2 linked regions of the Caenorhabditis elegans genome follow. The protein of the gene in region 1 purifies or fractionates together with the protein of each later gene. This does not show direct contact. Each region holds a gene or a part of one and is shown on either strand. Other genes may lie near its edges.

The links.
Region 2: the proteins of mrps-9 (region 1) and glb-12 fractionate together in Caenorhabditis elegans (co-fractionation; one large-scale study listed by BioGRID). This does not show direct contact.

The regions. Positions count from the first base shown.
Region 1 is NC_003281.10:8,264,383-8,268,377, reverse strand, and holds mrps-9 (Small ribosomal subunit protein uS9m), read right to left. Parts: upstream 2,317-3,995; coding exon 2,255-2,316; intron 2,204-2,254; coding exon 2,108-2,203; intron 2,063-2,107; coding exon 1,979-2,062; intron 1,932-1,978; coding exon 1,671-1,931; intron 1,625-1,670; coding exon 1,367-1,624; intron 1,207-1,366; coding exon 1,099-1,206; intron 1,055-1,098; coding exon 941-1,054; intron 890-940; coding exon 786-889; intron 739-785; coding exon 647-738; 3' UTR 537-646; downstream 1-536. Other genes in the region: F09G8.7 (uncharacterized protein), read left to right, coding at 24-125, 231-431; ncr-2 (NPC intracellular cholesterol transporter 1 homolog 2), read right to left, coding at 2,690-2,971, 3,018-3,131, 3,180-3,274, 3,402-3,620, 3,945-3,995.
Region 2 is NC_003280.10:10,729,262-10,733,434, forward strand, and holds glb-12 (GLOBIN domain-containing protein), read right to left. Parts: upstream 2,392-4,173; 5' UTR 2,302-2,391; coding exon 2,263-2,301; intron 2,117-2,262; coding exon 1,850-2,116; intron 1,791-1,849; coding exon 1,705-1,790; intron 1,634-1,704; coding exon 1,534-1,633; intron 1,006-1,533; coding exon 778-1,005; intron 725-777; coding exon 644-724; 3' UTR 543-643; downstream 1-542.

The sequences.
Region 1 (3,995 bases):
CAAAAATGACGTTTTTTTCCAGAATGAGCAAATCAAACAAAAAGTCCAAGCCAAAGTACACATTGGAAAACCTTCAGCAGATTCCCGGAGTCCTCGCTTTCATGATTTGCAAAGGAAATACAATTGTAAGATTTTATAAAATAATTTCTAGAAAAAATACTTGTTGCTCAATTCTAAATATAAATTTACACATTTTTTTGGTAAGAAATTTTAATTAAAAAATTTTCCAGGCCCACAGCACTTTCCTCGAAGCGGAGAACCCTCGTCAAATTGCCTACAATGCAATGCGAATGGCAACTCGAACTCAAGGAACTGAACTCCGTGATCTAAAAGTGCACACGATCCAAGTTCAATACGACGACTTCCAAATTGAAATGTTCCAAATCGGCGGACACTTTTGCATCCTCAAGAAACGTGTAGATACTGATTAAAAACTTACTCACTTTACCTCCCCCCCCCCCCCCCCCAGTGCATTCCTTCCCTGAAAAGTAACCAAACCCATTTTTGAATTGATGTCTCGTTATGTATGCTTTTCTATTTTATAAATTTCATTTTTCAAAAGTCTAAAAAAACAATAAAAACAAGAATTCTAGTTGAAAACTTCCTACCAATTAACAAAAACAAAATTAAAGTGGGTATTCATAAATTAACGACGTTTCCAGATCCATTTAGCACGAGCACCCGGTTGATTCACCTTGCTTCTTTCGTTTTTCCGTGGGTCCAGTGTTAGAAGTCCAGCTGTAATTTAGGAATTTATAAGTTTTTTACAAAATAAATGTCCTTACATAATCTTAGTGGTTCGATAGCTTCTGGTTGCAAAGCGGCAACACAAAGTGCAGTTCCATGGCGAACAGCACGCGGTAGAGCACTCATTCCTCCACTTCGCATTCTGCAGAAAGTGATTATACTGTTGCAGAGTAACAAATTTTAATAGTCTCACAATGGCGCCTTGTTTGGTGCTTCTGGAAGAGTATTAGAAATACATGAAGTTGTCGCTGTTACATCAAATCGACCGAGAGACTGACTGACAATCATTGGTGCAAGAAGAATCTCTCTGAAATTATGTTATCAGAAAAATTCGATGTTCGCAAAATATACCTGGCTTGAAGATGCCTGAAATCGTGCAATTGGAGACCATCAATATCGAATTTTCCTTTTCCTGCGTCTGTGACCTTAACTGTAGCACGAGTATCTTTACATCGTGTTCTGAAAAAAAAACTGTTCAATTATTCAGTTTACAATTAGAGAAAATTTGTTTAATTAAAAATTACAAGTATTTTTAATGGCAAAACTAATTTTAAGGTTATCAAATCATTAGATTTTTGGCAAAAATTCTCTGCTGTCTTTTAAAAGAAGGACAACTCACGTCACTTCTGCATATCTTCTGTTGGTCACTGCACAAACATGCACTTCAGGAATCGCAGGACCGAACAATTTGGATCCAGTTGAAGCGGTCATTGGCTCTCTGAATTCCATCAAAAACTTTTGTTCAATAGCTGATCCTGGTAATGAAGCAAGATGCTCAAATGCAATGATGACTTGTCCGTACAATTCTTTTGAAAATTTTTCCGAGAGCTTTTTCTTCAATTTGTCAGCTGTAACCCATTGAGAACCGCTCAGATTTCTGAAAATTAATAAATGTTTCAGTAGAAAAAATGGTTACTAATTACGCTGGTTCCAAATCACTTCGATTTACCGATCGACTTCCAACATGTTCATCATAAAACTTCATAACAGAATGCGTTTTGACTCCAATATCCGACAAAAGCCCGTAAATTTTTGGACTTAATGTGAAAAATCGGGATCCTTCTGGTTTTCCTTCTTCGTCAAATGTGAATCTTTGGAATTTTGGAAGAATTTCATCTGGTGGTCTCATAACTGGACGAGCATTTGGGTCGGTTAATCCAGAAGGAAATAAATATAGGATTGCTCTGAAAATGCCAATTATGATAAATATGACAAAACACTGTTACAAAACCTGTCAATTGCCTCTTGATCGAGTTCATGAATGTCAAGACTCATCATTTTGGCAAGATGTCGACGTCCTGTCTCGAACTCTGCTCTTAAAATGCTTTATTAACGATTTTCACTTCAAAAATCGATAAACCTGTGTTTCTCCATCATCGCCACATGTTGTTGACTGTGTTTCAAATAAGTTTCCAGTGCTTTACCAATTTTTCGAACTGAAGTGTCGCTATCTGACCTGAAACACGATTATTTATTGAAAGAAATAAGAGAAACGAATGATACTTACGCAGACGCTGGCGAAGCAGAGCTCATTGCTCTACTTGAGCGGGCTAAGACTATTCTGAGCATCTGAAATCGGAATAAATAAATTAATAAATTAAAATACGTTTGAAAATAACGGAATTTAGTATTTATAAAGTAATTTATGCAAAATTGAGCTCGCATCTTGAAAATTTTTAGTGAAAGAGAAATTGTTTGTCAATGGAGCGCGAATGCATCACTCAGTTTTTCTTGCAATTTTTAGTGGCCACATTACATTCGTGTTAAACATATTATTTCGTATTGAGGAATTCCTTAAAAAAATGATCTTATAATAAAAAGCACACATAGAACACATTTTATTATAAATATGATTCAGAGGGATTCATACACATTGTAAACGAACATAGAGATCATTCTATACGGGAATGATTAGAAAATGTACAAAAGAGAATGAAAGGAATCAGACAGATGTTTCAGAAGTGCTGGAAGTACTTGATGTGGTCGATGGAGGAGTATCCTGCAGTTCTGCTTCATCGGTTGATTCTTCTTCACTGCTCACATTCTGATAGAAATCCGATCCGAAAATTGCCAAAAGTGTTGGCATGTAAACAACTCCATGAACTGCACAAACAAGACCAATTCCAACAAGTTGATTGCAGAAGTATGTGATGAGCACACGAGAATCAGCAAATGAAAGACATCCAGCGGTGATCATGATAGCAGGGAAGATTCCGGACAATGTCTAAATGTATTTGAATCTAGAATATGAAGACAATTGGTAAAGTTACCGTAGATCCATTACTGACAAGTGCAGCGAATGCTCTTTCTTCCCTTTTCGGTTTTTTTGAGTTATAGAATCCATGTAGCATTTGCCCAAAAAACTCAACAGCGATTCCAAGAGACTGAAAATCTTAAATTACCTATAGGTGTCTACCAAAATATGAATTTACCATTGCCATATTGATAACTGATACTACATTCACTGTGATTCCGAGTAGATACATCCATTCCATCAAGTGAAGATATGATGAGAGGAGTACAAATACTGAAAATGTCTAAATCAACTATCTTACACAACGTCATGTGCCCTACATATCCCTTCTTCCTTTATTAATAATCTATTTCACGTATCTAGACATTTGAAATTATATCAAAGTAACTGTAAAACTCACCAGTGACTAAACTTCCAGCCAAATTAACGCGTAAAAATAGGGAAATCGTGACGAAAGCAACAAAAAGAACCAGAACTACAAGAGTATATACAGTTGTGCTCAGAGTCAGATATTGTTCGTAATAAGGGAAGAAGGTACTGTACACGTAGACTTTCACACCAGGAATTTCCAGTTCACGTTCAATGTCGTCTGCTAGGTATTTCGCGAATCTCCAGGCATCTGAAAATGAATACTTTCAGAATTGTAAGTGGAAGCCTTTAATTTTTTGAAAAGAAATTGAAATCATTGTTGCATCATTGAAGCCCTATTATGGTTAAATACAAAGATTTGAAAAATTAAAAAAATTAGAACCTAAAAACTCATATAAGTGGCGAAAATGTATTTGAATCGAAATAAAAACATTGGTCATTTTGGCACACTCATATGGTATCATTAGTCAACTGGAGATATTCCAACTTTAAAGGCACACACACACTTTAGTTTTTCTACATGGGTCTCGCAACAATTTCTGTAAATTTGCATTTTGAGATTCTTAAAACATACCGTACAGCTGAATAGAGTCCGAGAGATTCAACTTTTTGAAAAATGTTGAAA
Region 2 (4,173 bases), on another chromosome or scaffold:
AATACGGTTTAAATAATTTGTTAGATTATATTTTCAACAAATTAATAAATATTTTGGTTAAAAAAAAACTTGTTCAGTATCGTGAATTGTGGTTGCTGGAGAGCAAACTAAGCAATATTCTATACTCTTTTTTAACATCGTTTGAAAAATTGGTGAAAAATGAAATTTGCATTTTCAAACTTGACGTCCTACTTACAGCACAAAAAACGCTTAGGTAACTATCATATCTTGGCAAAATAATTACGATTTTAAAATGTTGCCGACGGAAAAATGTATTTTGAATTTTTAGTGATTTGTTAGTTGACTTTTTTTGAATCCTCTTACCGAAATGGAATAGATCCTCAAGAGGATAAAACCTCATATACATAAACTCGAAAAATAATCGGCCTATAACGTAATTGGCTCTGACTTTCAATTCACATAAAAATGTATCTAAACCTAATTCAGCAATGCTATTTTGTCTCCAAAATTGCATGTCTTTGTGTGACGCAATAGCAAAAAAAGCTTAGCTCATTTTTGTGCATTAAATGTGCTACAAAATCAAAAAAAAATCATTTATTCAATAAATTTAATCAGTTTTATTTATCAGTGTTTTTTCAGTGTCAATATGTTTTATATGGTATATCACTATAAAAATATACTTTCAGAATGGATCTTCGAACATTTGCTCTTGAGCTTTTGGTTCATTTGAAACTGCCGTATTTTCAATCTCGCTTTGTTTTTCCTGAAAATGCCAATATCAAATTAACAAATGTATGATATCAACTAATAACATACCGCCACCCTCTTCTTCTTCCTTTCCGAAATCTCGATATGTTGATGTGGAGCCAAGGCTTTTGTTGTTTGTGCACTCTTCTGTTTTGCTCTTTCCAATTCAAATGAGTCAGTCATTTGACTAATTACTGTGTTTAAGAACTTCTTCCAGACGTCTGTGATTTGAGATGTGGTGTAGTTTTGAGCAAATCGCACTTTTTTGTTCTCTTTTCCTTCTGATGATGGAAGCTCCTAAAATCATATTTGTTGGGTGAAAAGGTTTTTTGTTTTACGAGGGGAGATTATGAACTTTTTTAGAAAAAAAAACCAATTTAATTTAAACAATCTTATTTCGAATAGGTATCTACAAGAATTTATAGGAAGAGGATCACAAAGAACTAAAAAATCCGATCTGAAGTAACATTTAAAAATACTTATTTGAAAATATTATTCTAATTTTTTGAAAAAACCCGCAACTATTTTGCCCAACTGGATCAAAAATTGCACCTTTTTTAAAAAGAAAAACAAACATTTTTTTGAAAACAGCTCAAGTAATTTCCTCGCTCACAAACATCCTAATCTACGTTCGGGAAAATTTTCAAAATGCTTCTCGACCGCAAAATTTCTTTTTCGAATTATATAGATTTTTTCAGAAATCAAGCTCAATTAATTCCTTTATTAGAAAATAATTTGATTGAGTTGTACTCCAAATAAACCTTCCAACAAATCAATTAGTTGAACTTTCAAACTAGCTTGACCTAACTGATCCCACAATCTCACCTGTTCACCCGTCAGAAATGGAATTAATCGCTCGATAAATACATTTATAACAATTTCGAAATAGTTCTTCTCCATCTGGTTCTGATTTTGTTCCAAGAAACTGAAAAATCATCAAATGGCATTGGACTATATAATCATACAAAGTGACGGCATTTGCACCTGCGCACTTACCCTTGTCTGACATGACTTCTTCCCGTTTTTCGTACCAATTGCCATGCACCCGTCAGATTTTCAGACGTGCCAAGCATTGACGTGAGCTGGAATAATAAATTTGAGTTCAAAAAATACTCTTAAAAATGTAGTTTAGACAGCTAACCTGCTCCATGAACTCATAGAATCTTAGAATATGCCCTCCGAATTTCGGCATTTTCAGCATCGCGGCTCGCGGAGCCCGATCCACGCCAAACACTTTCTTGAGGTCCGGTTCAATATCATTGACAATATCTAAGAATATAAGACCAACAATATCCTTCGGATCATCTAGCCTTTGCCAAGTTTCACGTAACAGAGTACGGTCTTTTTTATTGAGGGCTAAGTCAAATGGATTTTCAGATTCGTTTCCGACCCAAGATGCTCCGACTTGCTGGAAAATAATTTTTTAAAATGTTCTGTGCGTCTTTAAAGAGTACTGTAGTTCTCTATTCTTATGTACTGTTTTTTTGAAAAGAATGTAAAAAATCCAAAAATTTTTGAGAAATGTTCATCTTCCGAATCAAGCTCAAAACTCACGGTTTTTTTCTTTTTCGGTGCACATAATGTGGCACCCATTGAAAATATATAGATTTATAACGATACTTGTTTTATTAAAAATCTTAAGCACAACTTCTCATCACCTCAATCAGGAAATGTTCTGAAAATTTGAAATTGAAAGACTCTGAAAAAGGAGAAGGAGTGAGTAAACATGAAGAAGACAAATTGAATAAGCCTCAATTATGACGTGGCAATGGAATGATGATTGGATTTTTTGTGTGTTGAAGTAGTCATAAAACGGAAGACGGCTGATTTTTTATGGGATGACGGGGAACAGAGCAACATAAATTCGCGTTCACAAGGCTGAAAACTAATTTGAATTTTGGCTTAAATTGTGGAAATGGCCAGTTAGATCTTGGAAATCAAATAAATCCTAACTGAAAATTTAGCCATATTCATTGTGGAAAAAATTAGATTTTTTAGGGTTAATAATTTTGTTTTGAAAAGATCTCAAACTTTTCCTATGACCCAAAGCATAATAAAAAACTGTAGATTTTGAGAAATCTTTTAAATCTAATTTGCCTTGTTTAAAATGCTTCCAAGCAGTATAATTTTTGTGGGGACCTATTAAAATGAGCTTTTTTGAAAATCCTAATTTTCGATGAAACATTTAAAAAAATCGAAACTTTTCCTTGTCAGCTTAACACTTAAATTTGTCAAAATCTGAGACTAGACTTGAGTTTTCTCGGGGATCTTTTCCGAAAGAAAAGACGCATATCAAAAATCAGTGTTCTTCTTCCCAAAAACTTATAGAAAGTATGAATATAACCAAATGATTGCTTTAAAAAAGTGAGAAGAAGGCAGAAGAGGGAAAAATACGAAGAAGTGGGATAAACAAAGTGACAAAAAACTGCGAAATTATAGTAGAGAGTTCTGACAAGAAATAATAAGGGAAGAGAAGGAAGTAGGTGAACTATTGGTTTTTCGAATGTTAATGTTATAAATGTATTTATACGTAGGCTGTTTTATTACTTGTTAGAAGCTTGAACTCAAGATCCGGCGGGAAAAGTGTAACAGGTGCACGTAAAAGTTCAGTGGATCAAAGATTTCTGGAACGGGACAAAATTTGTGGAGTTTGAATTCAAGTTATTTTGGAACATAGTTTGCTGGTGGGGCAGATTTATAAACGGCAGTAGCAATTCATGGTCTACCGGCTTCCTAGTTTCTGGTTATTTTCTCAAATTTTTGATTTTTGCCCATTTAATTTTTTTAAACATTTTCACTTCAAATTTTGTTAAACCACGGTATTTTAAGTCCACAATTGAATTTTTAAAGAATTTATCAGAAATGTTGGTTAATCTCCAAAATCGTTCTCCGCTCTCAAAAACCAAAGTGGACGTTTGCCTCCAAAAAAATGGAGAAAAAATGAAATTGCGATTTTTGGGTTGAAATTTATATTTTTTAAAAGCTGAGAACATGTTATACACGAATACTATGTCCATTTTGACACCCAGAATATCTGAAAATATCTAAAAATTGAAGCATGAATATTTTCAGAAATTTCCAGTTAATTTGTAAAAATCGGAAATATTAAAACTGCAGATTTCATGAACAAAAATAGTCTGAAATTTGTATAGAAAACAATTCAATCTTTCAAATTCAAGCACCCGCATTGCAGAAAATAATCAATTCTCATGCTCAACTAGATAGTTTTGCTATAGTTTTTGATCAGAAATTTGATTGTTTTCACTTTGCTTGCCGCTCTCCAAATTCCAAAAGTTCTGACTTCCAAGAAAAATTGAAAAAGAAAAAAAAAGAGAAATATTTAATTTTCCAGGAATTTTTTTTGTTGATTTTTTGAAAACGAGAATTGAAACAAGTATGGAAGAAAAATAGGCATAATCTTACTTGAAACTCAAAAATTTTCCTCTAGGTTACACCTAATTAAAA